Linked DNA regions of Saccharomyces cerevisiae S288C. The protein of the gene in region 4 binds, or shares a complex with, the protein of the main gene of each other region. Each region holds a gene or a part of one and is shown on either strand. Other genes may lie near its edges. A codon is read from its position in the direction of its gene.

Evidence for each region.
Region 1: the proteins of RSC6 (region 4) and RSC8 are in contact, whole or in part, in a cryo-EM structure (PDB 6K15), measured with the Saccharomyces cerevisiae proteins. Residues at the interface, in NP_009981.1 of Saccharomyces cerevisiae: Leu22 (codon at 3,954), Lys26 (codon at 3,942), Val27 (codon at 3,939), Asn29 (codon at 3,933), Leu30 (codon at 3,930), Leu33 (codon at 3,921), Leu36 (codon at 3,912), Met39 (codon at 3,903), Asp40 (codon at 3,900), Leu43 (codon at 3,891), Asp44 (codon at 3,888), Tyr46 (codon at 3,882), Leu47 (codon at 3,879), Arg50 (codon at 3,870), Arg51 (codon at 3,867), Glu394 (codon at 2,838), Asp395 (codon at 2,835), Lys398 (codon at 2,826), Glu401 (codon at 2,817), Ile402 (codon at 2,814), Leu405 (codon at 2,805), Gln408 (codon at 2,796), Leu409 (codon at 2,793), Ser412 (codon at 2,784), Lys415 (codon at 2,775), Tyr416 (codon at 2,772), Phe419 (codon at 2,763), His420 (codon at 2,760), Leu422 (codon at 2,754), Ser423 (codon at 2,751); in NP_116695.3 of Saccharomyces cerevisiae: Pro176 (codon at 1,649), Ser177 (codon at 1,646), Leu178 (codon at 1,643), Gly180 (codon at 1,637), Pro181 (codon at 1,634), Ser182 (codon at 1,631), Phe183 (codon at 1,628), Gln239 (codon at 1,460), Trp334 (codon at 1,175), Glu335 (codon at 1,172), Val347 (codon at 1,136), Glu348 (codon at 1,133), Ile351 (codon at 1,124), Glu352 (codon at 1,121), Leu355 (codon at 1,112), Ser356 (codon at 1,109), Pro358 (codon at 1,103), Glu360 (codon at 1,097), Asp361 (codon at 1,094), Arg365 (codon at 1,082), Met390 (codon at 1,007), Asn394 (codon at 995), Val397 (codon at 986), Gln398 (codon at 983), Leu401 (codon at 974), Leu407 (codon at 956), Val410 (codon at 947), Ser411 (codon at 944), Ser414 (codon at 935), Arg415 (codon at 932).
Region 2: the proteins of RSC6 (region 4) and RSC58 are in contact, whole or in part, in a cryo-EM structure (PDB 6V8O), measured with the Saccharomyces cerevisiae proteins. Residues at the interface, in NP_009981.1 of Saccharomyces cerevisiae: Pro7 (codon at 3,999), Val8 (codon at 3,996), Pro9 (codon at 3,993), Val10 (codon at 3,990), Thr11 (codon at 3,987), Tyr12 (codon at 3,984), Pro13 (codon at 3,981), Thr14 (codon at 3,978), Asp15 (codon at 3,975), Ala16 (codon at 3,972), Tyr17 (codon at 3,969), Asp40 (codon at 3,900), Ser41 (codon at 3,897), Asp44 (codon at 3,888), Leu45 (codon at 3,885), Leu47 (codon at 3,879), Thr48 (codon at 3,876), Arg51 (codon at 3,867), Asp392 (codon at 2,844), Asp395 (codon at 2,835), Thr396 (codon at 2,832), Leu399 (codon at 2,823), Arg400 (codon at 2,820), Lys404 (codon at 2,808), Leu407 (codon at 2,799), Gln408 (codon at 2,796), Asn410 (codon at 2,790), Ser411 (codon at 2,787), Gln414 (codon at 2,778), Val443 (codon at 2,691); in NP_013133.1 of Saccharomyces cerevisiae: Thr262 (codon at 1,226), Glu263 (codon at 1,223), Met264 (codon at 1,220), Met265 (codon at 1,217), Thr266 (codon at 1,214), Phe268 (codon at 1,208), His270 (codon at 1,202), Asn272 (codon at 1,196), Trp273 (codon at 1,193), Val280 (codon at 1,172), Trp281 (codon at 1,169), Leu282 (codon at 1,166), Lys283 (codon at 1,163), Tyr284 (codon at 1,160), Asn286 (codon at 1,154), Tyr287 (codon at 1,151), Asn288 (codon at 1,148), Ser289 (codon at 1,145), Trp290 (codon at 1,142), Ser293 (codon at 1,133), Phe294 (codon at 1,130), Glu296 (codon at 1,124), Ser303 (codon at 1,103), Thr304 (codon at 1,100), Gly307 (codon at 1,091), Leu308 (codon at 1,088), Trp310 (codon at 1,082), Leu311 (codon at 1,079), Glu312 (codon at 1,076), Gly315 (codon at 1,067).
Region 3: the proteins of RSC6 (region 4) and RSC9 are in contact, whole or in part, in a cryo-EM structure (PDB 6V8O), measured with the Saccharomyces cerevisiae proteins. Residues at the interface, in NP_009981.1 of Saccharomyces cerevisiae: Gln4 (codon at 4,008), Thr5 (codon at 4,005), Asn6 (codon at 4,002), Pro7 (codon at 3,999), Asp15 (codon at 3,975), Ala16 (codon at 3,972), Tyr17 (codon at 3,969), Thr20 (codon at 3,960), Tyr21 (codon at 3,957), Asp24 (codon at 3,948), Leu45 (codon at 3,885), Thr48 (codon at 3,876), Arg49 (codon at 3,873), Leu52 (codon at 3,864), Asp53 (codon at 3,861), Thr54 (codon at 3,858), Ser55 (codon at 3,855), Ile56 (codon at 3,852), Asn57 (codon at 3,849), Leu58 (codon at 3,846), Thr221 (codon at 3,357), Gln223 (codon at 3,351), Val227 (codon at 3,339), Asp228 (codon at 3,336), Gly229 (codon at 3,333), Gly230 (codon at 3,330), Val232 (codon at 3,324), Val249 (codon at 3,273), Asn250 (codon at 3,270), Val253 (codon at 3,261); in NP_013579.1 of Saccharomyces cerevisiae: Lys143 (codon at 2,061), Ser144 (codon at 2,064), Ile146 (codon at 2,070), Cys147 (codon at 2,073), Asp148 (codon at 2,076), Ser149 (codon at 2,079), Met152 (codon at 2,088), Gly201 (codon at 2,235), Asn203 (codon at 2,241), Gln206 (codon at 2,250), Leu207 (codon at 2,253), Tyr208 (codon at 2,256), Glu209 (codon at 2,259), Tyr252 (codon at 2,388), Thr253 (codon at 2,391), Lys254 (codon at 2,394), Asp255 (codon at 2,397), Arg256 (codon at 2,400), Ser294 (codon at 2,514), Leu297 (codon at 2,523), Glu299 (codon at 2,529), Cys300 (codon at 2,532), Asp301 (codon at 2,535), Ser302 (codon at 2,538), Glu331 (codon at 2,625), Leu334 (codon at 2,634), Ile335 (codon at 2,637), Ala338 (codon at 2,646), Thr339 (codon at 2,649), Asn342 (codon at 2,658).

The regions. Positions count from the first base shown.
Region 1 is NC_001138.5:227,013-234,529, forward strand, and holds RSC8 (Rsc8p), read right to left. Parts: upstream 2,175-7,517; coding exon 501-2,174; downstream 1-500. Other genes in the region: anaphase promoting complex subunit CDC26, read left to right, coding at 1-325; IRC5 (putative ATPase), read left to right, coding at 2,368-4,929; OSW7 (Osw7p), read right to left, coding at 5,000-6,532; SAP155 (Sap155p), read left to right, coding at 7,230-7,517.
Region 2 is NC_001144.5:203,655-210,769, reverse strand, and holds RSC58 (Rsc58p), read right to left. Parts: upstream 2,010-7,115; coding exon 501-2,009; downstream 1-500. Other genes in the region: putative divalent metal ion transporter SMF3, read left to right, coding at 1-258; DNA helicase RAD5, read right to left, coding at 2,270-5,779; YLR031W (uncharacterized protein), read right to left, coding at 5,985-6,545; YLR030W (uncharacterized protein), read right to left, coding at 6,689-7,115. UniProt on the Saccharomyces cerevisiae protein: Component of the chromatin structure-remodeling complex (RSC), which is involved in transcription regulation and nucleosome positioning. RSC is responsible for the transfer of a histone octamer from a nucleosome core particle to naked DNA.
Region 3 is NC_001145.3:15,430-20,069, forward strand, and holds RSC9 (Rsc9p), read left to right. Parts: upstream 1-1,634; coding exon 1,635-3,380; downstream 3,381-4,640. Other genes in the region: double-strand break repair enhancer MSC1, read right to left, coding at 1-1,247; ERG13 (hydroxymethylglutaryl-CoA synthase), read right to left, coding at 3,631-4,640.
Region 4 is NC_001135.5:212,040-219,010, reverse strand, and holds RSC6 (Rsc6p), read right to left. Parts: upstream 4,018-6,971; coding exon 2,566-4,017; downstream 1-2,565. Other genes in the region: CTR86 (Ctr86p), read left to right, coding at 1-635; threonine synthase THR4, read right to left, coding at 770-2,314; YCR051W (uncharacterized protein), read right to left, coding at 4,272-4,940; YCR050C (uncharacterized protein), read left to right, coding at 5,239-5,547; ARE1 (sterol acyltransferase), read right to left, coding at 5,250-6,971. UniProt on the Saccharomyces cerevisiae protein: Component of the chromatin structure-remodeling complex (RSC), which is involved in transcription regulation and nucleosome positioning. RSC is responsible for the transfer of a histone octamer from a nucleosome core particle to naked DNA.

The DNA.
Region 1 (7,517 bases), on a different chromosome or scaffold from region 4:
CTCTCTGATCGATGACCTGAACGAGCAGAAACTCAAGCAGCAGCTGAATATCGAGAAGACAAAATACTTCCAAGGAAAAAATGGCGGATCGCTGCACTCCAATACAGACTTTCAGGACACATCGCAGAATATCGAAGACAACAATAACGATAACGATAACGATATCGATGAAGATGACGACATGTCATCTTACAACGACAAAGCAGCCTCGGTAGCGCACACCAGAGTCCTCAATTCCTTGCATCTGTCCACCGACAGCAATACCGCCCACGAGACGTCCAATGCAAACGACAACCACAACCCCTTCTACATCCGCGAGGAATAATAGCATATCCGCATACGCACACGCACACGCACACGCGCACGCATCCACATTCACTTTCACTTATAAAATTTCTTCTCTCTAGTTTTATATACGTTGTATTAGAAATATAAAATATGACAATAGTACACTTTGTAGGCTCTCTTTTTTTTTTTTTTTTTTTTTCTTATATATTTTTTTACAATGACCACGGTTTGTACACCTGGGGCTGCAATTTTGCAATGGAGTCGCCTTCGCCTACTTCCTCGCCTTCCTTGCCTACACGTTTCACGCCATGTCCTGTGGCCGTATTGCCGTCTTCGTCATCGCCCTCCTGGTCCTTCTCCACTAGTTGTATGCCCGAGTCTACTTGCTCCGAGATCAGTACCAGTTTCTTCGACACATTCAACTCCTCCAGCGACTTGTTCAGGTCAAGAATCTGTTTACTCAGTGATAATCGGTCGTTCAGCATCTTTTCAGATTCCTTCACATATTTCAGTTTTTCCATCTCCAGTTGCGTTTCTAGATCGCACAGCTTTGTAAACTTGCTCTCTAATTTCTCCATGGTCAGCTTGACTAACTCTTGGATTATCGCTTGGCTTTCTTCAATGTACTTTTCGGAGATCTCTCTCGACTTATCAGAGACCTTACCCAATTTGTCGTCGCCTTGCAGTAGCGTCTGGACAGCATCATTCACGCATTCCATCAACTTCGAACCGGACACACTACCATCGCGGCTGTCGCCACCCTTACCATTCAGCGTTGAACCAACAACTTCTCGGATGTAGTTGTCCTCGATCGGTAAGCTTAGGAATTTTTCAATGCAGTCTTCTACACGCTTGTGCCCACCCACGTGGTCAGCAATCTTCTCCCACTGGTCTTCATACATTTCAATACCCTCCAGCAATAGTAGCATCTCCTGGTCTGACCAGTTTTTTTTAACCGAGTTTCCGTTGTTTTCTAATCTGATGAAATCTGAAGATTGAAAGTTGGCACCGAAATGACCCTCTTGGAAACAACGGGAGCACAGGTTGGTGTCCCGTGCACGCAAATTGTGGTAGCGCACATTGATTGACTCGTTACCGCATGTATGGCAAATGTAAACTTTGTGAATCTGCCTGGAGTTTCTACTTTCGTCTTGTAATGCATTGAAGTCTTGTGCAGAATCGTAAACGTTCTTCTTGATTGTGAGATTAACGGGAAATTCCTTCTTGACTTGTGGTTCCGCTCCATCTCCTCCTTCCACTTCTTGCTTGATCACATTCTCTGGTAAAAATGGCTTTAACCCCTGCGGAGTGTCCAGAACCACTTGGAAGTGGCCCGTAAAACTTGGCCCAATAAGACTGGGCTTGGTCCTGGGGTCAATCTGATAATTGATTAAGCCCCATTTTTCCAAGAACGCGTGAATCTTCACTATCGAGGCAACATCCATGGCAACATTTCTTCTCACAGCGGTAATGGTCAAATATTCGTACGGCGAAAGACGGTACGTGTTGATGATAAAATTTCTTGTGTCCTTATATGCCTTTGGTGTCTTGAACCTTGATGAATCGTTGAAAAAGTCGGGATTGGATCTTTTTTCGATCTCGTGGATCTTCGAAATATCAAACCAAGAGGCAAACGACGGAATAATCACCGGGTGAGTTTGCTTTGCCAGGAACCTAAGGGCCTTCTCCTCCAGTTTCTGTGCTTCTTGCTCGTAATTGATTTTCTTATGAGCTACTTCTGCTCCCAATGTGGCAGATTCCTCCTTCGCCTGTTCCTGTGCTAAGTGAGGGAAAGATGGCGTGTTGGTGCTTGTGGTGGGTGGCTCCTCGGTCGCTTCGTGCGAGTCTACCATAGGGACATCCTTATCCTTTTCAGTGTCGCTCATTATCCTGGCCTTCTATCTACTCTTTGCTTCTCTGCTCTACCCTTCTCTCTATAAACCTCACGAACTAATTCAATGTTGATGAAACTTATTTTTTCCAACTTTTTTACATCAAGCGGGTGACAAAGAGAACGCCGTAATTAAATTATCATAGAAAAGAGTAACGGATTAAGGAAGTATCAAATTTGGCGATGAGATGAGCAGATGCTCAAACGCGGCGCTGATGACTGTTGTTGAGGATGCTGTTGGGGCCAGGGTGGCTGCAAGGACGAGAAACATGAGCAATGGCGTCAATTACCGGGAGAAGGAAGTCAATGACCTAACGGCTGACATTTCAGATTCAGATTCAGATTTGGATTCAGAGGACAATAAACATGGCAAAGGCGACAATGACACTGCCCCCATATGGTTACAAGATGATGTGCATTCAGACGAAGATATTCAGCTGGACTCAGAGGACGATTCCGATACAGAAGCTGTTCAAGCCCAAGTGGTGGATAAATTGGCAAAAGACACGAAATCAGAGCAAAAATCCTTGGATGATGAGCTCTCCGAGATGGATACCAAGACGGTTTCTTTAAAACTTAAGAAACTAAACGAGTTTGTGAGGCAGAGTCAGGTATATTCCAGTATAATCGCCGATACTTTACTACATCGATCTAATGAAGTGGCTAACGCTAATACAAAAGATAACAGCAACTCTGATGATGAAGAACATTCTTCAAAAAAACGTAAAACAAAAAAAAAATCAATAACAGATTTCTTCAAAAAACAGAAAAAGAACGAAGATACAACCACCCAAAACGGCGCACCAGACGATGCAGCAATAAAGCAACCTCGCCTATTGAAAAACTGTATTTTAAAACCTTACCAACTAGAAGGTCTTAACTGGCTGATCACTCTTTATGAAAATGGCCTGAACGGAATTCTTGCCGATGAAATGGGTCTTGGTAAGACTGTTCAAAGTATTGCTCTTTTGGCGTTCATATATGAAATGGACACAAAGGGTCCTTTTCTAGTGACTGCACCATTAAGCACCCTAGATAATTGGATGAACGAATTTGCAAAATTCGCTCCTGATCTACCAGTTCTAAAATATTATGGGACCAATGGTTATAAGGAACGTTCTGCCAAGTTGAAAAATTTCTTTAAACAACACGGCGGCACGGGGATCGTCATCACATCATATGAAATTATTTTAAGAGATACCGACTTAATCATGAGTCAAAATTGGAAATTTTTAATTGTTGATGAAGGCCACCGTCTGAAAAATATAAACTGTAGATTGATTAAAGAGTTAAAAAAAATCAATACTTCCAATAGACTGCTACTAACAGGGACGCCTTTACAAAATAACCTAGCTGAATTATGGTCACTTTTGAATTTCATAATGCCCGATATCTTTGCCGATTTCGAGATATTCAATAAATGGTTTGACTTCGACAGCTTAAATTTAGGCTCCGGTTCCAACTCTGAAGCATTGAATAAGTTAATCAACGATGAACTACAGAAAAATTTGATTTCCAATTTACACACAATTCTGAAACCATTCCTTTTGAGAAGATTGAAAAAAGTTGTTTTGGCTAATATTCTGCCGCCAAAGAGAGAATATATCATAAATTGTCCGATGACGTCTGCACAGGAAAAATTCTATAAGGCTGGATTGAATGGAAAGTTGAAAAAAACCATGTTCAAAGAATTAATCAAGGATTTTTTCACATTGAACGATGAATACATCGGCCACGTTTCTAATCGGTCCATACGAGATTTCATCAATTATAAACTATCTGGTAATGAAACTTCAAATACAGACAATAAAATCAATCCAACCTTGTTGCAAATGGACAAACTATATAAGAAGAACCTGCAAATGGAAATTTCAAATAAGAAATTGCAAAATATGATGATGCAATTGAGACAAATCATTGACTCAACTTTTTTGTTTTATTTCCCATATTTACACCCAGAAGACTTGACTTTGGAAACTCTTTTAAAGACGTCTGGGAAATTACAAATCTTACAAAAATTAATCCCCCCATTAATATCTGAGGGGCACAAAGTGCTTATTTATTCTCAGTTTGTTAACATGCTCGATTTGATCGAAGATTGGTGTGATTTAAATTCGTTCGCGACATTTCGAATTGATGGTTCAGTAAACAATGAAACAAGAAAGGATCAACTCGAGAAGTTTAATAGCTCGAAAGATAAGCATAACATTTTCCTATTGTCCACAAGGGCGGCAGGACTGGGTATTAATCTAGTCGGGGCAGATACAGTTGTCTTGTTTGATAGTGATTGGAATCCACAGGTGGATTTACAAGCCATGGACAGGTGTCACCGTATTGGCCAAGAATCACCGGTTATAGTATATAGGTTGTGTTGTGATAACACCATTGAACATGTTATATTGACCAGAGCGGCCAATAAGCGAAATTTGGAAAGAATGGTTATCCAGATGGGAAAATTCAATAACCTGAAAAAATTGGCGTTAAATGAAGGTTCTTTTTTGAAGGCAAACAAAGCGGGTGTTAATGTCACTAATAAGGACTTAGTCCAGGAGTTATCTATGCTTTTAATGAGCGATGAATCCAATATAGGCTTTGAAAATGGGGGACAGAAAGAAAATAAGGCTACTGAGGGCCAACTGACTGATAAGGAGGTTGAAGAATTGACCAACAGATCTCTTGAAGCGTACAAGGCCAACAGAGTCGTAGATCTGCCGCACGTCAAGCTATTTGAAACAACCTCCGGTCTTTAACTTGGTTATCATACAATATTGTTTTTATTAAATGTTTGTATATATGTACATATACATACCTATATATTGATCAATGTTCTTGCCGTACAAATTCTTCCTCTAGTTGTTCCTTTAGTTCACGGTTTTTGAATAAAGTATCCGCAGTATTCATTCGTTGCAGAAAGGTATCTTGAATATTATTTTTTGTGTTCTGGAAATCAGCTTTTAGTTTAGTAATCCATTCCAGTATCAAAGTCATATCCAGATCATGTTTTACCAGACGGTTCCTCTCAGAAATAACTTTCTTTTTCAATTCCATGAAACGGAGCCAGTTGGAATGATTCTCTTCTATATAGGCAGGATCGTATTGATCTTCCAAATGGAGACCTCTGACGTCCATATATGCCATTCTTTGCGACCATTGACTTATCATTACATCGCCCCACTCTTCGTACACTTCGACGTTTTCAAGACGAATCGATTCTGCCAGTTTAGCCATTTCGGTAAGAAAAGAATCTAATGAATGAAACAGTGATTTTTCAAAGTCTAACAAATGTATTTTATAATTCTTCAGTATCGATGTGATAGATGATTTGGTAATGTAAGCTTCCAGTTCAACTTGACCCGATTCATCAAAATACTTTATTTTATTTTGCACAGGATCGAATTTAGAGGTACAATTAATATCTTTGATTTTTGAATCTAGAAACACTAATTGCTCATTAACGGTAGTGTTAAGGTCATCAAGATTCCTAGTGATTTCTATAGATTTATTTTGCACCTCGGCCTCGAACACAGACTGTATCTCTGAATCCAAAAGTGCCATCGCACTGTGTATTTTCGAATCTATAGCCTTAATCCATGCTTCATATTCCATTTTTAATGATTCTGCCTCGTAAGTTTCCAATTCTGCATGGCTATTGGAACCAATGATAATCTTTGACAAATCCTGCAAAATAGCAGCAGTGACGAGTTGTGAGTTCCCGTGGCCATCCTGTACTCCATCGAACTCGTATTCTTTATTTTCATCCTCAATTCCGACATCATCCTCATCCTCATCTTCATCCTCATCCTCATTTTCATTCTCATCATCCTCATAATCCTCTGTTTCCGAGTCTGTCTCAAAAATGGGTTTGGTGAGCGTGCCATCAGCGCTAAAGGAGCCGTATTTCATCCAATCCGTAGAGGAGTTAAATGGATTCTCTAGTACATTCTTCACATTGTCTGTATATGGCTTTAAATAGTACCAGGCAATCCTTAGATGATTTAATAAAGGTCCCAACTTGGAATGTAGCGAACAGCAGAGCTCATTTAGCCTTAGAAAAGAGAAAATATTGTACCAAAAGCGGTAAAAATATCCCATAATTCTCTTCAAGGATGAGTTGGGGTATCTTTCAATCAGTGGTTTTATCGATTGTGAGTACTTTCCAACTAAATAGTCAGAAACCGCTGAACCTTCAACCAATTTAGAATCGAATAGTGAGCCAACTGAAAATTCAGTATGCCGGCAAATGGGCTGTAAATCTGTGGCAAAGCTTCCCAGACCATTTTGCTGACAGACCAGATACCTTGCAATAAACACGCAAGCCAGCAAAGCAGTCGTTACTTTGAAAACGGCCTTCATGATTTTTAGTAAAGAACTAACCACCTTTTTCTTAGTTAAGAAAAGGTCAATCAGTAACAGAAATATGATAGTAGCAACACCCAAAAAAATGCTATCTTCCAATAGTCAAAAAGGAAGCCTCGATGCCATACAAGTCTCTTCTAAAGTACTATTATGTAATTCCTGTTAAATGATACCTGTATTGTGGCTTAAAAGGGCCGAAATGACAACAAAATGAGTAGGGTTAATTTAATTTTTAAAGAGGGCATTTATCTAAAAAATGAAAGACAACTATAGGGCTGGTAATTATAGAATAGGTCTTAGTAGGGTTATCCCTTCCTCTAGAAAAAAAGAAAGAAAAATAATTTTAAGTGGCCAATTAGAACCAAAACCAACAGTATCGTGGTATCATACGCTCCAAAGCAACTAGAAGAAAGGCCTTATTTGACCATTGGATTCAGTATTTTTTCTCCAAGTAGCGGTTAAAAGACTGAGAGACTAAAGCTAGATAGTGGGTTTGAGTGACTATCCCCTTTTTTCCTCCTCTTTTTTTATTATTTTGATTTTATTTCATTTTGATTTTATTTCAACACGATTAAGACACAAGCGTTACTTCCCTAGACTATAGTCTCTGCCGTTCCCATTCTATTGATTTTTGGAGCAGCAGTTTTTACAAAAGAAAAGAAAAAAAAGACGAAAACAACAAGCCAGAGTAAAGATGTCGTTTTGGCCATTTGGACAGAATCTTAATCACTCTAATATTAATAAGATCCTAGATGAATATTTTCATGTGCTACACGAACTGGAAAGGATTAACCCAAGCGTTGGTAAAGCCATTCCCGCTATTTTCAACAACGTTCAGGAACGAGGTACAAGTGACTCCCTAGATTCTATTCCGGAGGAGTATAGTCATGGTGATGAAGTGAAAACGGCACGTGGAGATCAGAAGAGTCGATTTGAGAAGGATGATCAGCAAGAACGGTATGAGAAAGAGGAAGAGGAACGG
Region 2 (7,115 bases), on a different chromosome or scaffold from region 4:
TCCGCTCCTTTAATTTATTTTACCGCAAATAGAAAGTTGATGGTTGTTCATGACGAAAATGGTGTGGTAAGAGCACCTGCCGATGTTAACGCCATTGCTGATGAAACCACTCCATTGAACTCCAAGCACAGTAAAATAGTTGATTTTACTAACAGTCGTTTGTTGACCTATACCTCTGTTTTCGTATGGGCTTTAATCGGGAGCTTGAATTGCTATTTGGTGATTTCCTATCTCTTAGGTGCCGACATCCATTTTTAATGGAACCTATTTATTGTCAAGTGTGTCGTTTTCTCTCGATTCTTGTTTTCTCTCATTTCTTTATTCTGCATAATACAACCCAAGTATATACTTACGTATGCATAGCCTTCAGAACAAATGCATACTTTATCTAATATCAAAATATAAACATACATTAGTCAAAAAAGACTTGATGAGCTTTCATGAAACTAAAACAAAGATAATTCATTATTTATCTTTGATTCCACTACCGCTGACACTATTTATTTCTTGTGTTTCCGTTTACGACCTGGTTGCGCCCTTACCACAGGTATGCTACCATTATAGTTTGTTTGTAATACTGGAAAGGCCCTTACATTGTTTATAGGAACCTTGGAAACCTTCTTTGCTAAGATAACCTCCTTTAGTATTCTTTTCACTTTGAAGTATAATTCTCGTTCCTCCGTAGTAGGCTTCAAAACTTTATTTAAAATCCTCTCCTTTCTAAGTCTTTTAAGTTTTAAGAGAGAGTCTGAAACCAACTTATCTGGTGTGCCATTTCGAAAGTTCTCAATTTCGTCATCTCCAATGTAATTAGATGGTGTCCAATTATATAAGTTTTGAAGCTTGATTATGAATTGTTCCTTATTCTCAGTACTCTCTGAATTTGCAGAAGCGATAGTCGCATCATTATCATTATCACCACCATCGTCCTGAACGCCATTGCTTTTGCCGTCAACATTTTTGTTGTTTTCATCGTTCTGCTTCCTGTTTATGCCTTCTTCATTCGTGTTCAGTAATTCTTCTTGTTTTACTTTCTTTTCATTTTTTTCATACAAGTCCATATAACCAATTCTTTCAAGCCAAATAAGACCCCTTGTTGTCGAATCCACAACGGTGCCGTTTTCATTAAAGGAAGGTGCCCAAGAATTATAATTACCATATTTTAGCCAGACGGTTGTAGGTAAAGCATACCAATTTGGATGCAAAAATCTAGTCATCATTTCAGTTGGTGGTAACGTAGGGTCCGGAATATTACTAGTATTAGCGCCTACAAATCCTAATCTTGGAGCTTCGTTTTCTATATCAGTTTGAGGTAAGACGTTGTTTATTTTGAAGTTTGTATTAGGAAGTTCATGAGGTCTTTTGTCAAGATTAGATTTAGAAATTATCGAAGAAAAAAGGTCCATATCCTTCGTTCTTATCTGATATGTTTGAGAAATCGGCACTGTGTAATTCATAGAAATCTTAATAAAATCATAAGAGATTATTTTGTCTAGTTCTGTTGCATCGTCATCGTCGTATTCATCCATCTCGTTTCCGCTCAACAACTTACCACTTCTTGATTTAATATTATTAGTTTGCGTTAGAGCAATTCCTATCCTACAACATTCTCGTAATAAAAGCTCTGAAGAAAATTTGTAGAACTTGTCGACTAATTGGTAGTTTCTTGTACCCTGAGGATAAAAGTGAATGAGGATTGTACAAACCAGCTTAATGTCGTGATACAGCTTATAAAACCCACCTTGTATGGGTTCGTACTCTCCATTTTCAAACCTCTTATTGATAGTTGTCAAAACTAATTTATCTTCATTACGTATCAAACCTTCAGAGTTACTTCTATTTTTAATGAATTTACAATATGATTCATATATCTTATCCGGATTTTTCTCAAAGAACTTGGCTGGAAAACTTTCATCTACTACATGACATTTCACAGAGGCAGCATTCAAAATGGATTGAACATTTACCAAAAAATCTACTAGTTTATTTCCACCTACACTTTCTGTCATAATGAAAACTTTCGATTTTCAAAATTATCTCTTATTTGATCCCGACTGATGATGATTTTCTTCGTCTTCGTATTTCTATCGTCCATGCCTTATGGCGCTGTTTTATTTTCTTAATTGTTTTTTTAATAATTGCAACTTAAAAATACGGGTAACGGAAAAGGAAGATAATAGAAGTTGCATGAAGTAGCTGAAGAATAATTAGTTCTTTCGGGTTGAAAATAATAATAAATAAAGTCTTTATATATGAGTATGTGGTATGACTATTCAAACAGCATCTGGATTTCTTCAATTCTCCTTTTTCTTCTCTCGTCTTCGTCTGTGTCCATGGCCTCACCGATGGTTCTCTTCTTTTCTTGAATGCGTAGCATTTTTTCTTCTATGCTATCTTGTATGATAAATCTCATAACTTTGACGCTGTTTGTCTGGCCAATTCTATGCAGTCTATCGATTGCCTGATCTTCCATACTGGGCGACCACCATGGGTCCATCATATAAGCGTGGGAAGCACACGTTAGATTCAAACCCACGCCACCAGCCTTCAGCGAGAGTAATAGGATTTTTTGCCTGCTATAGTCTTTAACGGCAAAATCTGCTAATACACTAGTTCTTTCTTTTAATGAGAGACGTCCATCGAATTTATAAATTTTTGCAACATCTTTTGAGAAAGTATGAGTTAGCTCTTTCTCCAGGATATCCAAGTATGTAGAAAATTGGGAAAAAATGACAACTTGTTCGCCTGCCGAACTATCCTGTAGCAATTGAAGCTCCTTCAATAAAGCAGTGATTTTGCTTGATTTGGAGGCTGGTGAATATGGTTTGAATTCCAAATTTTTCGAGTTGCTATTCGTTTGTACCAATGCCAACAACCGACAAGCGTCTATTTGGTTACGGCAATTGGGGCACTTTAAACCCAAATTCTTACTGTTCTGAAACTCAATATATTCAAATAAACATTTCTCACAAAAACTGTGGCCGCATTCTGTAAATAAAGCCTTGTCCAAATCCATAGGTTCCGTTGTGCAGATGGAGCACTCTAAGGACTGAAACGATTTATTGTCTGGATATTTAACTTTTAATCTTTGTATCATTGCATCTAATTCCTCCTTAGAAAATGAGTTATCGAATCTCTCGGAAACAACACGCATTAAAGAGTCAAGCTCCACCGTTTGTTCCGTAACCAATTTATTATTTTTAGATAAATCCTCATCGTTCTCATCTTGACTCCCAATAAGACCGGGATGGCAACAGACTTGCCTCAATCTTAAAATATGGACAAGGATAGTGGAGTACTTTTTCAATAAATCACCGCGTGCAATACCCGATTTAACAGAAACTTCAGCCTTATCCAACAGAAACTTGTATAGAAGATCTTGAGATTTACTGAAGGGAAGTCTTTTAATAACGACCTCCTTTGGTGGCAACTCTACTAATGGCTTACCATCTTTATCTTTCATTTGTTTTGTCCTTCTTAACAATACGGGTTCCAGAATTGCATTCACCACATCAAATGCTTGTTTGTAATTTTTACTCTCAAAAGGCGTTGATACAAAGGTCTTCCAGTAATTAATTTGCCGCCAGGGATCTAACTCTAAAAACTTAACCAGACTGTATAAATCGTCAAGCCTGTTAATAATTGGTGTTCCTGTTAAAACCCATTTACATTTGCCTTGTAAAGCCATGACTGCTTTAGATGTAACTGTCGTTCTGTTTCTAATGTTATGACCCTCGTCGATTATTATGCGATAAAAATTGACAGAAAATAAGCCTGAAGATATATTGACGTCCTCATCTGTCATCCTTCCCTTGGAATGTTTAGTCCATTCATTTTGAACAATACCATATGTAGTAAGGACTACAGTTGGAGGGGTTTTTGTCTTGGTTAATAGGGTTTTCAAACTGGAAACATTCCCACCATAATACACCTCATGATACATATCGGGGGAATTATTAGCTTTTGTAAACTCGTTACTCCACTGCGTTAACAAAGACATTGGGACCACGATTAGCGTTGTTTTTGAAGCATATGGTTTCTTATTATCTTGCCAAGTGCTTGGAAGATTATCTGAGACTGCTGTGTTCTCAATATCAAACAGTTTCTTGTCAACAACATCACTATCGTGAGGACAAGATAAAACTAAAGAATACGCTGCCACTGTTTTACCCAACCCCATTTCATCTGATAATATGCCACCCTTTATCATAGTTTTTAATATAGGTTTTGCTAGCGAAAATTCACCAGAATGTAAGTTCGCATAAAAGAATATGCCATCTTCAACGTTTACATGGTCCTGCTGCAAATTTTGAGCTGCCCACGACATATCATTTGGCCATTTGAACTGCTTCCATAATGGGTTTATCATATTAGCACCCGTTTCTGAAGCCTCACCATCAGAGGCTGCTTTGGCAAACTCTTGCTCCCTCCTTAGCATCCAAGTAAGACCTTGCTTTTGATAATTTCTTAGTTCTAGCTTGAAGACATCGCGAGAAGGTTCTGTTTCAGGCAAACTTTTTAAAGATTCTGATGATTGTGCGGCCTTATAAAATGTTTTCAATTGATTCAAGTTCATTGTTTCTTCTTCGTGCTGAGTATCTCGGAGATTGTTATGGACTTCAGTCACTTGATTAGAGCAAATCTCGTCGTTATCTAAATCAATGATTTCGGGGTCACTATTAAGCTCTATTTTATGCTTTTCTAATGCCTTCTGCTCGTCCAAAATAGGCTTTAGCCTCAATTTATCAAATAACTTTAGTAGAGCCAGTCTTTTCGAGCGGCTTTCTAGCTCTTCATCAGTTTCAGTCAATGTTCTTCCAAAATTTCCATTGTCTTTCTCTCTTTTATTTCCTCCCTCTGTACGTCTTCTTTTCATCAAGGATTCTCCATCATTACGTTCCTCAAAAATGAGAGATGTTAAAAAGCAATCCAATTGTAGAATAAAGCTATCACCTATACTCAACCGTTTATTATCACAAAAAATCAATGTAACTTCAAAACTTATTTCGTGTGAACTTAAAAGAGGGTATAGTATTTGAGCAATGTCTTCCGAAACTCTGCCAATTTCTCTATCATATTGGATATCAAAAATTCTTACCAAACTAGCCATGGACGCTTTCTTTCTACCACGTGAGTCATATACTTTAGTAGCAGAAATCTCTTCACTTGATCTCTTTAGCTTCATCTGAGAGCCGTACTTCAAGGGCCTGACGGTGGGTCTGGTAGCCATACCAGTGACTTGCAAAGCACCTATAAATCTTTTCCAAGTAACTTTATCTTCTAATCGTGTTTGGTTTCTGAACCCGTATATTCTTCTTCTTTTAGGATGGAATGAAGATGGGGACAAGGTTGAATTTGAGGTATCTGAGAGTGTATTTAGTTGATTCGGGGAAGACGGTATTTTGCTGATAGACGTCCCGCTATTGTGATCAAAGTAATGTGATAATGCTAAAGAGAGCCCTTCCTCCTGACTGCCGAATTTTTCATTAAGTTCCATCACAAGATCCTTTGGCATTTCTGGAATAATCCTTAAAAGCTCTGTAATAAACTGATTCTGGCCTTCTTCTTCTATTTCTCGCCTGACTGGCACAATAGATCGGTCTCCCTCTCCTTCTGTTGTATCACTCACTGATACAACAACATCATCATCATCATCATTATGACTATTTGCAAATAAAAACGACTCTTTATTCTCAGATTTGAAGTTTAACGATGTTTCTGAAGTGTCAAGGTCATCGTTAAAAAACCTCTTCCTTTCTTCCTGTTCAATATGACTCATATTGTGATACTGTAAGACTTTAGGTGTGTTTCTAAGGCCTTTTGATAATGTAACTTTGTAGATAATTTACTTTCAAGTGAGCAATGCGCTTAGCAGTAAGGAATAATGTGTGGAAAAGTTAAGGGTTTATGACGCGTAAAATTTTCAGCCAGACGACGCGCCAACTAACATGTAAGAAAGTAATAATTTATGAAAATTTAACTACTTATTGATTACTTAATCTTCTAATACAAGTATTTTTTGTTTCTAGAATAGAATTCAATCTATTTATCCGTGCAGAAAGGTCCAGAATGAGGGGTTTTACTTCATTTTGATTTACAAAGCCTTGCTCTTCTGCAGTTAATCTTTTGGATTTCTCTCTGATTATCTCAGAAAGAAACTCTATTATCACTGAACTTTTCTTTCTTCTCTCATTTTCCAACATCAGAAAAAGCAATTCGTTGTCAGTGTCCTGCGATAAAGTTCTTAACTTTTTCTCCAGGTCTTGTCTTCTTTTGATGGACTCTCGTACCCGAAAGCAAAGATTATTTAGTTTGGCTAATTGAAAATTTCTTTCTTTAATAGCAGCTAGCTCGCCTCCTTGGATTAACTCTGATGCAGATTCAAATTTAGATTCAAAGCTCTTTTCCAAAAACTGTAAAGTGTTCCATTTATCCCTTAAGGGATCATCATGCTTTTCAAATTCAAAGGCATCTAGAACATCAGAAACCTTAGTACCATGAAAGTCGATATTGGGATAAGAAGTTCTCGTATTTAAGACCGGCATAATAGGAGTTACTGGAACTGATGTGTTTACAGATGTAAAACCATCTGTTTCACTCAACTTCTTTTCAAGTTTGTTAATATTATTCTTAGCTTCAGCCTTCCTATGCTTATTTAGTATGTTTTCGAGGCGTATAATCTCAGTGATTAATCTGTTTTGTTCCCTTTGAAGATTTTTTTTTTTTCCTTCATCGAAGCTACCTTTATATTTTGGGCTGCTGAGTCAAACCGTTCTTCGCCAGATTGCAAATCCTCTCTTTCAGTCAAATTACCACACGTACTAATCTCTAAAGGGCTATGTTCATCTTCACCCGGTTTTAACGAAACGAAGCTGTCAGAAGAGCGTTTGTTTTCCGCCAAAGAAGTGTTTTTAAATGAAGAAAGCTCAGAATTGATATTGCCCTGCTCCAACACTTGTATAGGGGGGGTCTCTTCAAAGGAGAACAGGCCATACCTTTTGGAATCTCCTTCAGGACTCTTTTCATGTTCACTAGTCAGGTTTTCTCGGACATTCTGCTCGTTAAGATTATCAACTTCACCCAGGAGGCCTTCTCCCCGGTTACGTGCCTCCGAT
Region 3 (4,640 bases), on a different chromosome or scaffold from region 4:
TGAGAATCTTGGAAGTCGTCCTTTTTGTCAGCAAACCAACCCTTTATGTCATCCAAAGACCAGTTACTGTTGTCAAAGTATTTTTGGTAGTCTTTTGGCAGGATCTTGAGTTTTTCGTTTCTGGATTTTTTGACTAATTCTCTCAATTGATGTTCAGTAGACAGCATTGAGTACTTAATACCACGAGCATCTAAAAACATTTTCAATTTGTCCTTTGGCCAAGAGTCTAGGCCAACCAAAAAAGTATCATTGATCACATTGTCAGTCTTACCTCTGAACTTGGAGTACAAATTTGTGAGGAAATTTTTAGAAGAGTCCCAAACGGAACCAACGTATTCTGGGGTCTTGGTCAAAAATGGAGAAGACTCTCTTTTCATATAGTCCAGGTACCAGTAGATATCATCTTTCAAATTGGCAGAATTTTCTTTGGCCATTCTAACCAAATAGTCGTGTTTCTTGGCCATGTTCTTGTCAATATTGACCTTGTGGCTCTCCAACCAATTGGTTAACTGATCACTAGACCACTTGTCAAATACAGTGTCTTTTATTTGTCCCGATGTGTCTAATATTTGTTGGTGAGCCAAATCCAAGCTTTCTAGCAAACCCAGACGCTGCTGTTCTGCCTTTTCTGAAGTTCGGTAGATGTTTTCCTTGACTTTCTGAACTAGCTCGTCCTTGCTTTGAACTGCCTTGTCGTAGTCGATACCATTGTCATTCAACCAGTTTTGCAAATCTTTGGTTGACCAGCTATCAAAGTAAGAGCTAGAAGGATAGTATCCCGACGACTTCAAAGATTTGGAAATCTTGTTGAAGTTCTCCTTAGCAGTCTTCACCAGCGAGTCCTTGGAAGCCTTAGCGTCGTCAACATCCACGCCGTTTTTCTTCAAGAAGTTACGTAGACTGTCTGTGGACCAGGTGTCAAAGAGCCAGTCAGAAACTGGGTGATCCGAAGAACCAGTATAACCAAACCATCCGGGGTTACTGTTGCTCACGCTACTGCTGTCACTAGACCACACCTGCCACCATGGTTTGGGCTGCGCGTGTTTGTCCCATACCTGCGATGCCTCCGTTTTCAAGTCCTCAATGGAGTCTGTAGCGTACTTTTCCAAGCTCTTCTTATTATCACGTAAATAATCGGCCAGGTCTTCCTGCGTCCACTTGTCGAACACTGAATCTGAATTGGCCAACACTAAGCCAATAAGCACAAATGATGCGGAAACCGCATTAACCAACTTGAATTGCTTCATCTTCTTCTCTTAATTAACAGTTCTTTTGTAGTTGTCTCCTCTTCTATTGCAGATCCTCTTCTAAACTCCGGTAATCTAATCATGCTAGGAATACGACTCCATGAGTGGCTTTAAATACCCTGTCGATCCCCTTTCACCGCCTCCTTGTTTCCTCCCTCTCCCTTATTTTCCTTCAGTTCCAAAGATCCCTTATTCTTCCCCTCTAAGGTGAGGCCGGCGTAATGCTGTTGCTTACCGACGTAATGGTGGAAAAGGTGAAAAAAGTGAAAATAGTGATATTCTTAGAGAAAAACGAAAACAACAAGTCGTGTCAAGAGGTAGTGTTTTGGGAAAGACGTCATAGAGAAAGGCAGAAAGCTTGTAAAGAAGTGGAAATAAAGATTGAAGATGAACTCGTTAGCTTCAAACACACCGCTAAATGGTACTCCAGTAAGCGAGGCACCCGCCACAAGCTCCGAGCCTGTGAACATGTTCGAGACAATGGTGGCTAACCCTATTAAAGTGTCTCGATTACAGTCTAATGGAGTTCTGACGGGACCTGCAGCCAATACTAAGTCCATCCACTATTCGCTGGCCAATTTTAATGTGTTCCAGTCGCTACCCAAGGAAACGGCCAGAGGTGTAGACGATTTGACGAGGATGGAGATGGCGTTACTGAGTGGGATACCGGAGGAGATTAAGTGGTCTTTAAAAAAATATCTTACGTATAGTAACAAGGCGCCATATATGATCAGCTTACGGACATTGCCGGACCTGTTGCCACTTTTCAAGACTTTCATATTGCCTTTGGAGCGCATCGTGGAAGGTCTTAACAAATCGTCTATATGTGATTCAAAGGCGATGGATTCTCTACAAATGGGTCTAAATGCCTTGCTGATCCTAAGGAATCTGGCTCAAGATACTGATTCGGTGCAGATACTAGTCAAGGATCGAGAAATCAAATCTTTCATTCTTTTCATTTTGAAGAAGTTTCAGTGCGTCGCTACAGGCGATAACAAGTGGCAATTGTACGAAGGAAATGCAACTTTTTTTAACGAGTTGACCCATTATACTCTGGACTTGATGGAGGCCATTTCGTCCTATATTGCTCCTGCAATGAAGGATGATCATTATTTCCAAACGCTGGTGTCCATCTTGAACTACACTAAGGACAGATACATGGTTATTTCTATATTGAGGTCTCTTTCAAGATTACTGGTTAGGTCCAAAGCTAACGAGGAAAGTGCAGCGGACAATTTGGACCATAAGACTCTTTCGTTGATCGTTTCCTTTTTACTGTTAGAATGCGATAGTGAGCTGATTATTGCTTCGTTGGATTTCCTCTATCAATACATTTTGCCCGGTTCTCAAAGAATCACTGAGTTATTCAAGAGTAAGGAGTGCTCTTTGATACTGGAAGCCACGCTGCCTAATTTATTATCATATAATATCGCCACACCAGATTACCATCTTTTGCAAAAGCACAAAATTAGGTTGATTAAAAGGTTGAAGCCTCCCGCTCCAAAGGAGCCTCCCAATTTATCTGAGGATCTGTTTCAACAACTTTTCAAACTTAACGAGCCCTTGAGGTCAACCGCTTGGTTGAGATGTTGCTTTGAGCCTGTACAAGAAGCAGAATTTACACAAATATCGCTTTGGAGATCCTACGAATCCAAATTTGGTCAGCCTGTTCGCGAATCCGGACGCAAATTGTTACCTGCCGTGGAATTCATCAAGAATGTCTCGAATGCTTTCAATAACGCCGCTGCTATCGTAATCACTGACCCGGTAACCGGCAAGAAAAGGTTTGTTATCAAGGGCATTCAACCAAGATTTAAAGCTTTGGGTATTGCAGACGGGGAAAGAGAATCCCAGGTACCCATTTCGGCACTAAAATCCAAATTTTTGAATGACTCTAAGGAAATTACACCTGCAAGACAAAACAGCATACCAGAGGTCAAATTCCCTCAAGAACTCTCAGATGTTTCTAAAGTGGCCTGTACGTTTTTGTGCCTTTTATCCAACGACACGGATGATGGTGCTGGTTCCGCATTTTGTCAACGCATCAGGCCACTGGTTCTACATAAATTGGCTGATATTCCACCTTTAACATTAGCATTGTCTGAATACATGGAAAACACGTCGGGGTTATGAATGAGAAAAAAAATCGGTTGGGCTTAACTTTAAAGAAAAAAGTTGAGATTAGATTTATTGTGTTATAAATATAGATATACAATTCTTTATAAAAAAAATATATATATATATCATTGTTATTAAATAAAGAGTTTTCCTAGTATATAGATTAAAAAACTACTCTATTAAATGAGAGCTAAAAAAAGCAGGCTGCCAAAAAAATAAAGCATTTATGAAGGGGGTTCAGCAAGATGCAATCGATGGGGGAAGATTATTTTTTAACATCGTAAGATCTTCTAAATTTGTCATCGATGTTGGTCAAGTAGTAAACACCACTTTGCAAATGCTCAATGGAACCTTGAGGTTTGAAGTTCTTCTTCAAATGGGCATTTTCTCTCAATTCGATGGCAGCTTCGTAATCCTTTGGAGTTTCGGTGATTCTCTTGGCTAATTTGTTAGTAATATCTAATTCCTTGATAATATGTTGGACGTCACCAACAATTTTGCAAGAATATAGAGATGCAGCTAAACCGGAACCGTAAGAAAATAAACCAACACGCTTGCCTTGTAAGTCGTCAGATCCAACATAGTTTAATAGAGATGCAAAGGCGGCATAAACAGATGCGGTGTACATGTTACCTGTGTTTGTTGGAACAATCAAAGATTGGGCAACTCTCTCTTTGTGGAATGGCTTAGCAACATTAACAAAAGTTTTTTCAATGTTCTTATCGGTTAAAGATTCGTCATAATCGCGAGTAGCTAATTCGGCGTCAACTTCTGGGAACAATTGAGGATTGGCTCTGAAATCGTTATATAGTAATCTACCGTATGATTTTGTGACCAATTTACAGGTTGGAACATGGAAAACGTTGTAGTCGAAATATTTCAAAACGTTCAAAGCATCCGAACCAGCGGGATCGCTAACCAACCCTTTAGAAATAGCCTTCTTGGAATAACTCTTGTAAACTTGATCAAGAGCCTTGACGTAACAAGTTAATGAAAAATGACCATCGACGTAAGGATATTCGCTGGTGAAATCTGGCTTGTAAAAATCGTAGGCGTGTTCCATGTAAGAAGCTCTTACAGAGTCAAATACAATTGGAGCATCAGGACCGATCCACATAGCAACAGTACCGGCACCACCGGTTGGTCTTGCGGCACCCTTATCGTAGATGGCAATATCACCGCAAACTACAATGGCGTCTCTACCATCCCATGCGTTAGATTCAATCCAGTTCAAAGAGTTGAACAACGCGTTGGTACCACCGTAACAGGCATTAA
Region 4 (6,971 bases):
CCACTTTACTTTCTTGCCTGGACATAATTTCTGACTTGTGCAAATTCAATCATGTTAGAAAATTCTTAATTTCGTATGACTCTGTGAAAATATTGGTATCTCTCTTGGATACTTTCCAAAAGAATTTGTTGAGGATTAATTTTTTGAAAGGAAACGGTGATACGGTGAATGAAATTAAAATCACAGATCATGAAGGTAACAAAATCGAGGACCGGTTATTAATTTTCAACCGTGTTAATACCAACGAATCCTTTATTAGGGCTGATAATTTTCCCCATTGTAAATTAGTAATAATCGAAATATTGGCATCGTTAGTGTATGCACATCCTGAAATCCAAGATCAAATAAGAGAATTAGGTGGTCTTGCATTAATTCTTTCCAATTGTGTCATCGATGATAATGATCCGTTTATCAAGGAAAGATCTATTGTTTGCTTGAAGTTTTTGTTAAAGAATAATGCCAAGAATCAGGAATATGTCAAAAAAATGGAAGCTCAAGACGTTGTTCAAGACGATGCATTGAGCAAAGCTGGGTTTGAAATATCAGTTGAAAAGGGCGGGAAAGTTAGATTAGTATCTAAAGAAGAAGACCCTGGGAACGAGAATTCTGAGATTATTAGCATAGATGAAGATTAATTTTATGGTTCCTTACTCTCGCAATCATGATTCACTTTGATTAACATTAAGGATAATCGTACTTCATACTCTCTATTAATTATAGAATTCTATATGTTATATAAGATAAAATATATTCATTAAAAAGGAAGATCTTATAATTTCATTTTAGCAAGTTCTTCTTCAATAGCGTTTTTGACCAATTCAACGTCAGCTCTTTCGATGAATTTTAATTTCTTCTTTAATGTGGATAGTTTCTTCAATTCCTCAGGCAAAACATCCTTTTCAAATGAATAATTGGAAAATCCAGACAATGCATTGTTTACAGCATCGGCAAATTTAGCTGGGTGAGCGGTAGATAGAGAAATGTATTGGATGGACTTGTCATTATCTTTTGCAATCAATCTTTCTGTGGCGCAAACACCGACAGCTGTGTGAGGATCTAAGATGTAATGTTTTGGATTTACAGATGATTCGTAGATCTTCTTGATTGTTTCAGATGTTTCTTCATTGGAAACTCTTTCTGATGTAAAGTCCTTTGATGCGCCTTCAATGATGGATTTGTCAACTTGGAACTTACCGTTGGTCTTCAATTCCTGGAACCAATTGTTGACGATTTCACCGGCTTTCAAATCATCACCATTAGCTAGGTATTCACGAGCTAGGTACCATAGTAGTCTTTCAAAGTTAGAAGAGATTAAGATATCCATTGCTGGGGATAAAGTAGCAGCAACCTTGTCTGATCTTTCGTATAGACCAGATTTCAAAAATCTGTCCAAAATGTCGTTTTCATTGGTAGCGATGGCCAGTTTTTCAATAGGCAAACCCATTTTCTTGGCAAAATAACCGGCCAATATATCACCGAAGTTCCCACTTGGCACAACGAACTTGACCTTCTTGGAGTCCTTACCGTTGGTGGCTTGGAAGAATGAATAAAAGTAATAGGTCATTTGGGCCAAGATTCTTGCCCAGTTGATGGAGTTAACAGCACCGACGTTGTGTTTAGAGTTGAATTCTTTGTCACCGAAAATAGCTTTGACGATATCTTGACAGTTGTCGAAAGTACCGGTAACAGACAAAGTCTGGACGTTTTCATCTGGAACGGTGGTCATTTGTTCTTCTTGAATTGGGGAAATTCTACCGGTTGGATATAAGATGAAAACGGAAACGTCCTTTTTGCCTCTTAAACCGTAGATGGCTGCAGAACCAGTGTCACCGGAAGTAGCACCGACCACAGTGATTTGCTTTTTCTCGCCTTCAGGTAAATTGGCGTTGGTTCTTTGTAAGAAGTATTCAAAAAGATTACCGACAAATTGTAAAGCAACGTCTTTGAAAGCGTAGGTAGGACCGTGGAATAATTCTAAAATGTGCAAATTCTCCTTGTCACCAGTGACGTTTTGCACCAAGGGGGTGACTTCATCAGAACGGAAAGTAGAATAAGATCTCTTGATCAAGTCCTTTAGATCAGCATCTGGAATCTCTTCTTGGGCAATGTATAGTCTCATGATAGCAAAGGCTAAGTCTTGGAAGGAGAGCTTTGACCAATCATTGAAAAGAGTGGCTTGGTCCACTTGTGGAATAGTTGGTGGAATGAAAAGACCACCGTCAGTGGCCAGACCTTGAATGATAGCCTCTTCAAAAGAGATTGTCTTTGGAGAGCTGGATCTGGTAGATCTGTAAACTTGGGAAGCGTTAGGCATTGGTGTGAGGGATGGTGGCCGTCTAAGAACAAATATTTGCTGCTATACTACCAAATGGAAAAATATAAGATACACAATATAGATAGTATTAAAAAAACGTGTATACGTTATTGATAGAAATGACTATACATTTTGTCGAAAATTTTTCATTTTCTTCTATTTCCTCGTTGTAATGACTCTTTTGTTCGCACGGTCACTACTCACGAGGAGGCGTGCAATAATTGCAGAAAGAATGAGATCATACAGTGATGTTATAGTCTTCCTTGGGAGTACAGTAGTGAGATATTGCCCATTAGTGACCTGTCATTGTTGTTGTTACTGTATATGTCACTCGTTCTTGCAGCATCTTCATTGAAGTATTGGTCGCCCTGCAGCACAAGCTCGTTTTGCTTGGAAGACCATAAGTAGTGAGTCAGCGTTTCTCTTGGATGCAAAGACAGTTCGTGGAAAAACTGGTATTTTTGAGCACTAGAGTTCAACTGCAAGGCAAGCTTTGTGATTTCACGTAGTTTTGCTGTGTCTTCAGCATCTGTTTCTTCCTCTTTTTGTAAATTTGGCTGGGGTTGAGGCTGGTGGAGAATGTGCGACACATCTACATCCAAGGTGGTAGCACCATAGGTGGTATCTTTGGAAAGATCAATTGTATAATCTAGGATGATGGGCGGTAGGGGTGATACCAGTTTGTTCACGGTTTGCACAACATTCATCAAGGGGAGGTGCGCGGCGTTTGTATCCAATACCTTTTGTAAGAGTGAATCTAGCTTCACTTCACCCAATTCGGGCTTATCCTTTGGAGTACTTCCCTCGACGCCATCATCGTCACCAGCACCGTTTTTATTGTTATTCTCGTTACTGCTGTCTTCGGCATCGTTGGAACCATCTTGAGCCTCTGTTTGTTCCGTAACAAACAGATTGTTGATCAAAATGTACTTGTAGATCGAATAAACCGCGTCATTAACGGAGCCCGTTTGCATACCTATCAAGGTAGCTAAGTTGGGCGAGTACTGTACTTTTCCACCGTCGACACCCCTCAACTGGATGGTTATACTGCATCGCAAATTATCCTTGCCTTGCCTCTTGATGTCGATACCATCAAACTCCACAACGTTGTTTTCATCGTAGTTCCATTCCAGTGCGTCTACAATTTCCTCCCTGGATTCTGCCTCTGCACTGTCCTCATCCTCGCCGTTGTCGTTATCGCCCATGGTGCTATCTTGATCATTGTATTCGGGTTGTTGCAGATTCAAAGGAAGGCTCAATGACGAATCGCGTTTCCTCTTCTTGCCCATGCCCAGCGGTTTCAGTCTTTTAAAGTCGACCGCGACACCTTCCAAAAACTCACTAAATGGGTGCTTTCCGTTTGCGGACTCGTGCAGAAGCTTACCTTCTATTCTCAGTGTCCATGTAGTCTTGCCTGAGTCCGCTGGGGTGCCAGAATCGCTGCGAGGGCTGCTTTCCGTAGTGTTGTAGACGTAAATCCTCAGCATCTCTTTATTGGGGGGATGGTCCTTGGTCTTGGTGTTTGTAGGTAAATTGATGGACGTATCCAGCCTCCTTCTTGTCAGATACAAATCTAGTCTGGAATCCATTTCTATCAATTTTTTCAAATCTGCCAGATTGGAGACCTTATCATCGGGCAGATACGTGGGGATATAAGCATCCGTTGGATATGTAACAGGGACCGGATTGGTCTGTGTTACCATTTCTATGAGCTGTTTTTCGTGCTGTATTACTATACGAAGCTGCCTTGTGAACTGTATATTTGTTGCTTTTCTTTCACTCTACAACGTTTTTTTCATTCTATTTAAAAACGCGGTGAAATTTTACCTTGTAAGAACGTCTATTAATGTACAGAAAAGATACATAAGGGAAAAGACTATGTAAGAGAAAGAAGTAGTTCATGTAGCGTCGCGTTCAATTTCTTTTAGCAAGCTGTAAGAGCCTTTGTGCTGGGTCGTTATTTTCTTCTCTTGGAATCTGGTTCGTCCCCGGAACCCGCCATGGAGCCCTGGCCCAGCATCTGCTCTCTGACCATAGCACGGATGTACCTTTCCAACTCCTCCTCAGCGTTGTCTCCCGTAATGATCTGTTCCAACTGCCTCCTGCGTTGCAGAGTGGCCTCATCGGCTCCTTCCTCAGGGTCATTTTCCAAGGTGTATCTCACGTTGTCCTTGAACTCTTCCAGCAATTTGCTGTCGATGACACCCTCACCCTGCACGCCGTCCACTCCGTGAACATCGGCCACGCCGGACTTAATCCTCATGTACTCGATTAGCTCACCATCTTCACCGTTCTCGACGAACGAGTCGTATGGCGTTTGGCCCTCCACATTCCTGATAGTGAAGTCTCCACCCAGCTCTTCCACGATCAACCTGGCAGTGGCCACATCCTCCACATGGTGCAACGGGGTATCGCCGTCGTTGTCCAACACATTAATGTCTCCATTGTACTCATTGCACATTTTCTTCAGCAAATCCAGGTGGCCGTATGCGGCGGCAGCATGCATTGGAGTGTAGCCGTTAATGTCCTTGGATTGCGGGGTCATGGCGCCTTTACTCTCGCGGAGGATATGTTCCACTCGGTCCAAATTACCATCTGAAGCAGCCACCCATATATTAGCGTTCATTTTGTCGTCACAACACCTATAATCATCGATTTTTGTCACCTGCAAACTCTTCTTGTTCTCAATTATATCAAAGGCATCGAAAATTTTTGGGGTTATGACAAGGAAAAAAAAAGTATTACCCGAAACTTAAACAATGAATGGTATATACTATATTGTAAAGTTCTAATAATATATATAAATATGTATATAGATATATATATAGACCTAGGAGCTCTTTGCCCCTGTCTTTGACCACGGTGGAGCGGACGCCCATTCCCTATTGTATATCTATCAAGGGCTTGCGAGGGACACACGTGGTATGGTGGCAGTTCATAAGGTCAGGTACAACGTCATAATGATACTGGGCCCTGAACAGACACCAAACGAAAAGACAACGTTGGACAACTGCGGTCTTGCCCGTAGAAACTTGGTGTTGCTCAAAGCAGTCCACACAAACTGCGACAGTTGGAACATGAACAGATATCCTCTAACCCTTCTGAAAATGGCGAACATGGCCATTTCGTGGAACACGGCACTCAAGAAAAAAGTAAATAATGTAGCTTGGCTCTTGCTCAAATGCAATGCGCCCATGGAGCTGTGGTACACGTGTCTTAGTAAAAATTTGTGAACGGGGACGTTCCAGATTCTGCTAAACTCTTCAAACGAAACGCAATTCCACCAGTCGCCGTAGAAATATCTGTCCGCAAACCTGGTCAACTCCGCCACGCAATTCAATAAAGCGTCCCATATCATGTAAAACGTGAGCATGTACAGAACAGTGAAGCCCGGAATCATGTCGAAGAGCAGGTGGAACCACTCTTGCGTGGCGGGGATCCAGCCGCCGAAGGTGGGCGTGTTGTGGAACTGGATACAGCGCATGGCCACCGGGTGCATGAAGAACTGTGCCGTGACCATCATGAGGAAGATGGTGCCAATGATGGCGCACACCTTCTCCAACACATACCTCCATCTGATGCGCGACGTTCTTGGGTAGTTGATCTGGTACACGAGGACGGGGAACAAACAGAACATGAAGAAATTGCTGCAACTGATGTTGTTGGGGAAGTCGTTATCCTTGGTCTGGTAGTTCAATTCGAAAAGGCAAAAGTCGCAACTTTTTTGCAGAATCTCGCGGGTCTCTGGGGACAAAGATTCCTTGTATTTTTGCAACTGTTTGGAAGAGTACTCGAGTTCCTGCTTTATGTCCCAAAGATACCCGTTGTAAAAGGCAAACGAGTGGCTCTTCATAACAAACACCACGGAGTGCAGGAACAGGAAGATTCTCGTGACCCAGTTGAAATCAAAGTAGTAGACGTAAATGGGGAACGTCACGGGGATGAAAGCCAACTCGAAGATGCTCACTGCAACGAACCCAGTCCACTTCCAGTTGATGATCCGCTTTTTCACCAGCCAGTGCACGAAAACCACGAAGAAAGTGCACAGGAACATTGCCAAGTCCAACATTGCGATCGTGAACAAGTCCGTTGTCATGTACTGCACGATTTCCAGCTTATTCCATGCACTGCCGTACGACGCATAGTAATCTGTGCAGCACCTGATGGCTATCCAGCCCAAGAACATCCATGCGAACACGTAGATCCCTGAAAAGTTCGACTCCAGTTTTTCTCCTGGGGGGGCATCTGCCTTGTCCGTTTTCTCCGTAGTCTTCACCGTAGTCTTCACCGTGGCCTTGGTCTTGGTCTTTGTCAACTGTAAATTTTTGAGCTGTTTCTCCAGCACCGGACCTTTGAAAGTCGTCTGGAAGGGCACGTTGATGGCGCTGTCCAGGAGCGTGGGGCGAGGATCAAAACTCACGTCCCCAAAAAACGACACATACTTGCTAGCATCCTTTCGGTGGAACCTCGACCGAGACTTGCTCTTCAGGTGTGAAAGGTACTTTTGCATGTGGGCGTCCACAGGGTACTCCTCCTCCTGCTCCTGCTTCCCTGCCACACGTTCCGCCTCAGTCGACTCCACTCCTTCAGTCGACTCCACTGGCTCCACCAGCGACGTGGTAGACGACCGTGGCGAAACCTCCATGGACTCCTGTGG